2 linked regions of the Caenorhabditis elegans genome follow. The protein of the gene in region 2 interacts with the protein of the main gene of each other region in a pairwise test. Each region holds a gene or a part of one and is shown on either strand. Other genes may lie near its edges.

Region 1 (3,956 bases), on a different chromosome or scaffold from region 2:
TGTGGGTTCAAAATTAGAAAACACTAGTGTTTGATATAAATTGTTATAGAACGACTTTATGTCACATACTCTCACTTATTCTTCCCATGTGAAGCTTGCTGATTCTTCTGTAAAAGTCAAGACCGACGTTGCACTTAATACCAACTTTGGTGAGTTATCTAAAAAAAAACGTCATTGATAGAGAAAGCTCATCAATTATAAATTAATCTGCTAACAGGAAAGAATGAATCTTATCATGTTTAATGTGTTGCATCAGTATTCTAAACTAATTTTAAAAGATTTCCTATCGATTTTAAGAAATTTCCAGACGCTTCACTTTCCAATTGCGGAAAAGATGTATCCCAAGTTCAATGGTGTCAATCTCATTGTCAAGATAAAACACTCGAAAACGTCATTGTATCATCTGCAGTTATCAATGGAAGTCTTCCACTTGCTCTAGCACAACAGGTATAATTTCGTCACTATTTGAAAAGATTTCATGATTAAATTCAAGGTTTTCTCAACGATTGGATCACCAAACGATACTTCAATCGCTTCAATGCAAGTTGATTTAAACTCACAAGGAGTTCGAATCGATTATGATTATTATGATGATTTCAACTTCTGCTCAGTTTATGTGAAAGTGAAGAGGCCATCCATGTTCCCATATGCTCTATTCATTACGGTTCAAAAGATTGTTGGAGTCTAAACAAAATGTTTATATTGTCACTTCAATAATGGAATTGAATAAATATTTTTGAAATAGTTAAAATACAGACACTTAGGTAACTGAAATCAGTTTCTCTTTGGCACAATTGTGATTGGAATGGATTTTGGCTGCTGTTCCTGATTCTTCTCATATTTGACAGTGAGCACTCCATTGTTGCTCAATTCGGACTTGATTTGTTCTGGACGGACCCCTGTTGGAAGGTTATACTTCCGGACAAAGTGACGCTCTACCTGAAAGTATGCACAACGAGGTTTTAGACTTTAGTACAACTTCGTTATAAGCTCGGAAATGAGTTGCTTGGCTTCCTTGTATTGCGTAACAGGCGGAAGGATAATCTAGAACTCTTGGCCTTTATTTTGGATAACTTTTTGCCCTTTTCCGAGTAAGGTTTCAGGATCTTGAGAGCTAATCTAAGGATGCATGAAAACATTTTCAAGTTGCACTAGCTTCATACAAAACTTGAGTTTTTCAAGAAGGAGGGAAACCCTCACCTGTCCATATTTATCAGTCTTCTCGTTATGCTTTCCTTCGATGATTAGCTGATTATCAACAATGTTCACTTTCAACTCTTCTGGTTCAAACTGTGAAACATCTACAGATACATTGTATTCTTGATCGTTGTTCACAACATCAATAGCATCTCCTACTCGGTGTCCAGTGAGCATTGTTTGATCGGCCCAGTATGGTCGGATCATGTGGCGATCAAAGTCGACGTCATCGAAGAATCTGCTAGAAAACTTGTTTGTAGGAGTTTTGTAAAATTTTTAAAGTTAATTTTCTAATTTTCTAATTGCAGAAAAATATGTCAAAATCTCCAGTCTTTATGATTTTTCAGAGCATTATTTGCTAAACTGGAGTACAAAGTCCTCTCGCTAGCTTATTTTTAGAAATCGCGCCAAATTAAATTCTTGTGTATTTTAAGAACTAGCGGCGCAGAGTACAATTTGAGTGACGTCACTTATTAAAGAAGAAAATTTACAGAAAGTTATGTTACTTCAACTATAGAAGTTTCCGAAAACACGAGAATTTAGAAACTTACCGGCCATGGTTAAAGAATGGGGAGAATGGTGGAAAACGACGATCCATTTTATAATAGTTTCTGAAAATCTAATTATTTCAAAGAAACAAAACGAAAGTAAGACAGAAATAGGGGAAGAAGAAGACAAAACTGAGTTGACACTCCCTGCTTTTCTACTACTGCTCTATTATCCTCAATGCAAACAAGAATCGCCCACGGTTTTTTTTACCTCCTTCGAGAAACATCTACTCCGACGAATCATCAAAAAGAAAAGGTTTTAGATTTCGAAATTATTCGAACAAACTGACCAAAATACAGTTCTTTCTAACATGTAATATTTGTTTTAAACTTTAAAACTAATTGTAAGGAAGATTAACAAAAATAAAAAGCAAAACAGCGAGTCAATGATGAAAGTTGGGTGTGGTTGTTTGGATACTTCCCTTTTATCGAAGTTTTTCAGGAATGTATCGAATCGTCTCGAAACGTTTTTTTTGCTGGCACACTTGCTGATAAACTAATGCAGTGACACAGTTATTAATGGCATTGATGATTTCATTCAAGTTTAAACTTTATGCCAGAACTATCTCTAAGTATCATTATATTCTATACTATTTTTTTTTGAATTAGCAATGTAAATATACTCAAACAGAGGACGGAAAGAGAACGTTTGTCATTCAAAACGAGACGAACGGTTGAAGGATTGGATGACTGTTCCCAACGTTTGCAGAAAAAAAAACATTCAAAAATAAAAAAAGAGCGCAGCAGGACAGATGCGTATCTGCAAATTTTTAGATTCGATTTTCATATGATGTGGTGGTTTTCCGGGTCATTGAAATTCGAGAAAGAAAAAAGTTAAAAAGAAACCGATGGGTTGATGATAAGGATATTTATAACATTTGGTTTTATGTGCTCAATGTGCTAAACAAAGTTTAAAAATACAAGTAAAATAGTAAAAAGGAAATAGGAAAATAATGAGGCGTAATGCTAAAGTTAAAAACTATCTTCATTCAGGTTTCCAGTAACGAAAACTCAACAAGAGTGACTCACTTCAACCAGCTGCCTCTCTTGTTTTTTTACCGTATTCAATAAAAAATTTGAAATGGAACTTGTTTAACGACAATAATATCAAAAATTGTAAAATTTGCGGTACTTTACAGACTGTTTCCACGAGATGTCAATGTGATTTGTATCTGTTTGATAAACTAGATTTGAAATCCCCAATGTTTCAGAAATGCGCATAGACTGATCCGATTAATTACGCAATTGCTACCGTAACCTACCTTGTGTCACGCTTTCTCATGACCAACAGATTAATCAAGTCCAAAAGAAGCTTTTTTCTCTTCCGTGCTTTTTCACGTATCAACTGTTTCGGGAGGCGGAAAAATATAAAAATAAGGTTTCACGGATTAGGCGGCAGGCGTAGTAAACTTAAGTTTCTATAAATCCCACCGCCCCTTGTGCAGATATAAAAAGATCTGCTGTCTGCCAGTTTAGCATAAGAAAATAATCATGAAGCCCTTCTATTCAATGTCTCTAGTTTTGTTTTTAGTGATTACGGTAGGTTTTGAAAGCGAATTCCACAAAATAAAAATGATTTTTTTTCAGTTGTTACCTAAACCTATGTTTCCCCAAGTTGCAACAGGTACCACTGGAAATGTGATTCGAGTGGGATTTATTCACTGTAGAGACTTTCAAAGTGCACCTATCACTGTTGGATATCGTACATCTGCAGCAGCAGCTTCAATTGCAGTTGATAGATTGAAAAGGGAGAATCTAATGAGTGGTTGGGAATTCAAGTAAGTAGATTATTTCTAATGCCATACTGTTTTGTAAAAAAAAATAGACAGGCCGGATTGAAGAGTTTTAATAGTTCATATCATCTTGTAAATTTTGAAAATAATTTCAGTTTTACTATTGAATTTGACGATTGCGTAGAATCTGAAGCCGCTGGAATGACTGTTGATCTTATAGAGAAGCACAACGTGGACGTCATCATTGGGCCCACTATGAACCAGCGTAAGTAAATTTTTCAAATGTTTTGGTAACAGTTAATTTTTGGATCCAATCTTTAAAAACCAGTTATGTTTTCAGCTACGCTAGCTGCTTTTATTGTATCTAACTACTTCAATCGACCAATTATTGCGTGGGGTCTTGTAAACGCTGCTCAGTTAGATGATTTCGAAAGATTTCCAAATGCCGGAATTCTGTCGGCGGGGCAGCGAAGTCTCG
Region 2 (3,833 bases):
TAAAGTTGCCATGCTTTTTCCAAATAATTAAATTTACAGTTTTTCTGCTATTGTTCAAAAATCACTGTAAATCTTCCGTTTTTAAAGAAAATGTTTTGAAAATCTTCAATTCAAAGTTATTCTGATTTCGCAATACCTTTTCTGCGAGAAATTGTATTTCTGTGATACTTTTCTGTTATTTGCTTACTAACCTTTCAAGGAATGGCCTCTGCCTGTCATTATTAGTTAGGAGATTCAGGCGAAACCTGGAAGAAACAGTTTTAAAAGGAAAAGCTGAATGGAAACTGTAAAGTGAAGAGCGTTGCGAGACCGCGATCGATCGTGGTGAGACCGGCAGAGAAAGTGGGAGACTCGGATGCCTCTCTCGTTTCTCTCATGGCCGACGCACACTCTCGCACTGTTTGCATTTCTGCGTCTCTGACTTTCTCTGCGAACATTGCGAACGTATTTGCGGGGATACCCGTTTTTTATTAGAAATAATATCAAAGCGATTTGATGTTTAAACAACAAGCAATTGAAAAGTTAATCTGAAAATAATATCGTGGAACTAGAAATAATTTTTTATTTTAAACGCCAATAATTAAAAAAGAAAACTCGTAACAGTATCCAAATTCAAATGAGACCATCCAATTCTTTCATAAAATCATTATAAGCTTCATCGGTATTTTTTGCTTGCTTCTGAACCTCCGGTCGCCTTTGTACTGGAGCCGCTTGTCGTGGGACGATAGTCTTGTTGTCTCCTGGACGACGGAGCAATTGTGCCGGCACTAATTTGACAGTTTCTCGTCGTAAGTTTCGTAGTTCAGGAGCAGCAGAAAGTGTTGCTGGAGCAGCAGGTTCATTACTGCGATTAATTTGTGGAGCCGACGAAATAACAGCTTCTTCGTGATGGTTTTGGAAACCCATTGGATTGTAATGAGAACTCGCATGTGGGTGATGGTGGTGATGATGGTGCGGCATTCTGGTTGGCATTGAGTTATATGAGGATGGAGGTCCGTCTGGAAATCAAAACATAATTTTATTTGCAAAACATAATTTTTATTACATTTTTTTTAATGTGGGAATTTCTTGAAAATTTCCAGACAAAAGGGAGTAAGAATTTTAAATGTTGGAATTGGCCTATAAAAACTTACAATTTCTATGAATTGGCTGGTACGGGTTGTCGAATTCGGGAACTGAAATTTTTCAAAAATTACTTTCGTTAAGAAATTAACTCCTTACTAGGTACGGGCGCAAGATCGATGTCGTCATAGTGATCATCGTGCACTTCCTCTTCTTCTTCTTCGCTGTCACTGAAATTTGGAGCCAATCCACAAGGCGGCCCAGGAGGCTTTTGTCCAGCTACACGAACAGGTCTAGGAGGAAGTTGAAATTCCACTTTACGTCTAAAAAATAATTAAAAATTTAAATTCTCAAAACTTATTTAACATACTTTATCATAGCAGGAGCAAGTAGTTGATTATTTCTTTCAGGTCCGGCAGTAGAAACATCTCCCATTGGTAAGGGGATCATGTCCGGGTCAGCTTCGCGGGCAAGACGAGCTTGTTCTAAAATGAACGTTGTGATTTATAAAAAAAAAGAAAAATGATACTTACGAGCAAGAACAGCTAGTTTTTGACAATCTGACTGATATGCATTGATTTTGTCATTAAACTTCTTTAATTCAGCGTCTTCTTTTCCCTGTTGCAATGTCATCCGTCTTTTATTAATCGAATCTGTCAGCACTTTCTGCTTCTTTCTGAGAACATCGATATGGAACGGTTGAGGATCTAATCCAAGGATCTGCCGTTCTAATGCCAAAAGTTTGCTCGTTGTCTCATCCAGATTACAGTATTTCGCCATAGCTTGTCTTATTTGCTGCCTGTCTTTTTTGTTTCTCTTGTTTTCCTTTTTTCGATCCATTTTACGAGCTTGATCGGTAGGCGCTCGATAGCGCTCCCCGCTTTTCGTTTTACTGATGGACGGCATTTCTGAAAAAAAAACATGATTTAGGACAGCTGTTCTGGAAATAAAAAACGAATTAAATACAGATATTCGAAAAATGAGGAGCTTTAGGAAAAACATCTAGAATAAAATTTGTATCAGATAATGGATGTGAAATGGATTCATTAAAAAAAAGAAAGATGCTATTATTTTCAAATGAGTGCAAAATTAGCTTTTCTAGACGAAATGTTAATTTTAATCAGAAAAATACGTTTAATTTATTTGGGTGCAAGATCGTCAGAGGCGTCGCGGTTTAGCCCGCAACGCACCACAAAACACTATCAATAGTCCACGTTCGCACCATCAAAATGCGAAGCAACTTTAAATTTAAAGGTTAGGTCTCGAATTCCAATAGACATTCACTTTAGAAGTCATTTCAATCTTTTTCTAAAATCACGACAAAAGTACTAGATTTCACCAGAAAAATAGGTTTATTCAATGATGACTGTAATAAAAAAAATAGCTATGAAATACATGGATTATACATAAAAGATCCTGATAGAATTATCCACGGGTGGCGATGTATCCGATGAGGTCGACAACACGGTTCGAGTATCCATATTCATTGTCGTACCTGTAAAAAATAAATTTAAAATACATTTTTTAAAAATTCAGTGGTTACCAAGAGACGAGCTTGACGAAGTTCGGGTTGAGCGAAATGCATGCTCCAGTATCGAAAATGGACGAGTGAGGGTCGGACACGAAGTCAGTCGACACAACTTGATCTTCGGTGTAGGCGAGGATTCCCTTCATTGGTCCATCGGCAGCGGCCTTGACTACCTTCTTGATGTCATCCATCGAAGCTGGTTTCTCGAGGCGAACGGTCAGATCAACGACGGAAACATCTGGTGTAGGGACACGGAAAGCCATTCCAGTGAGCTTTCCGTTCAGCTCCGGAATGACTTTTCCCACAGCCTTGGCGGCTCCAGTGGAAGCTGGAATGATGTTTTGTCCAGCACCGCGTCCATCTCTCCACAGCTTTCCGGATGGTCCATCGACTGTCTTCTGGGTTGCGGTTACAGCGTGCACTGTCGTCATGAGTCCTTCGATGATACCTGAAAATAAAATAAATTAGAAAAAAACAAATTGATTTGATGATGATCATACCGAAGTTATCATTGATAACCTTCGCCAGTGGTGCCAGACAGTTGGTGGTGCACGATGCGTTAGAAATAACGTGATCATTCGAAGCGTCGTACTTCTCATGGTTTACTCCAACCACGTACATTGGAGCATCAGCAGATGGAGCAGAGATGATGACCTTCTTGGCTCCTCCTTGAAGATGGGCAGAGGCCTTTTCCTTTGTCGTGAAAACTCCAGTAGACTCGACAACGAAATCGGCTTTGACTGATCCCCATGCGATGGCAGCTGGATCCTTGCTGTTGAAGACCTTGATCTTGTGCGATGATTTGCCATCTTTCTGGACAATCAGAAAGTCTCCATCGTAGGTAACAGTTCCTTTGAATTGACCGTGGGTCGAGTCATACTTGAAAAGGTAGACCATGTAGTCGATTGTGATAAACGGATCGTTGACGGCGACCACTTGAACCGTGTCCTTTTCGACAGCCGCGCGGAGCACGAGACGTCCGATTCTTCCGAAACCGTTGATTCCGACGTTGGCTTTCGACATTTTTTTGAGTCTGTAAGAAAACTTGAATGAAATTTTGACGGAAGATTCACAAGAAGTAATAGCTTAAGAAGGAACAAATCTGAATAAAAATGGCGAAAATTCAGATTGAAGCAAAGAGAGCAAAGCAAAATCAACCGCATCGGGAAGAAAAAGAGAATAAATGATGAAAAAGAAATCTAGATTGGTGAACAACTGCAGAAAATTGAAAACTTGCCGCTCG

Evidence for each region.
Region 1: the proteins of wbp-11 (region 2) and hsp-17 interact in a two-hybrid assay, tested with the Caenorhabditis elegans proteins (one large-scale study listed by BioGRID).

The regions. Positions count from the first base shown.
Region 1 is NC_003283.11:8,384,120-8,388,075, forward strand, and holds hsp-17 (SHSP domain-containing protein), read right to left. Parts: upstream 1,809-3,956; 5' UTR 1,796-1,808; coding exon 1,749-1,795; intron 1,439-1,748; coding exon 1,201-1,438; intron 940-1,200; coding exon 775-939; 3' UTR 689-774; downstream 1-688. Other genes in the region: F52E1.14 (ZP domain-containing protein), read left to right, coding at 1-1, 50-149, 308-447, 494-688; gcy-7 (Guanylate cyclase), read left to right, coding at 3,237-3,284, 3,333-3,523, 3,634-3,743, 3,819-3,956.
Region 2 is NC_003280.10:10,171,060-10,174,892, reverse strand, and holds wbp-11 (WW domain-binding protein wbp-11), read right to left. Parts: upstream 1,971-3,833; 5' UTR 1,969-1,970; coding exon 1,596-1,968; intron 1,548-1,595; coding exon 1,433-1,547; intron 1,386-1,432; coding exon 1,222-1,385; intron 1,176-1,221; coding exon 1,134-1,175; intron 999-1,133; coding exon 613-998; 3' UTR 547-612; downstream 1-546. Other genes in the region: gsox-1 (C2H2-type domain-containing protein), read right to left, coding at 192-219; gpd-4 (Glyceraldehyde-3-phosphate dehydrogenase 4), read right to left, coding at 2,488-2,557, 2,606-3,038, 3,091-3,613.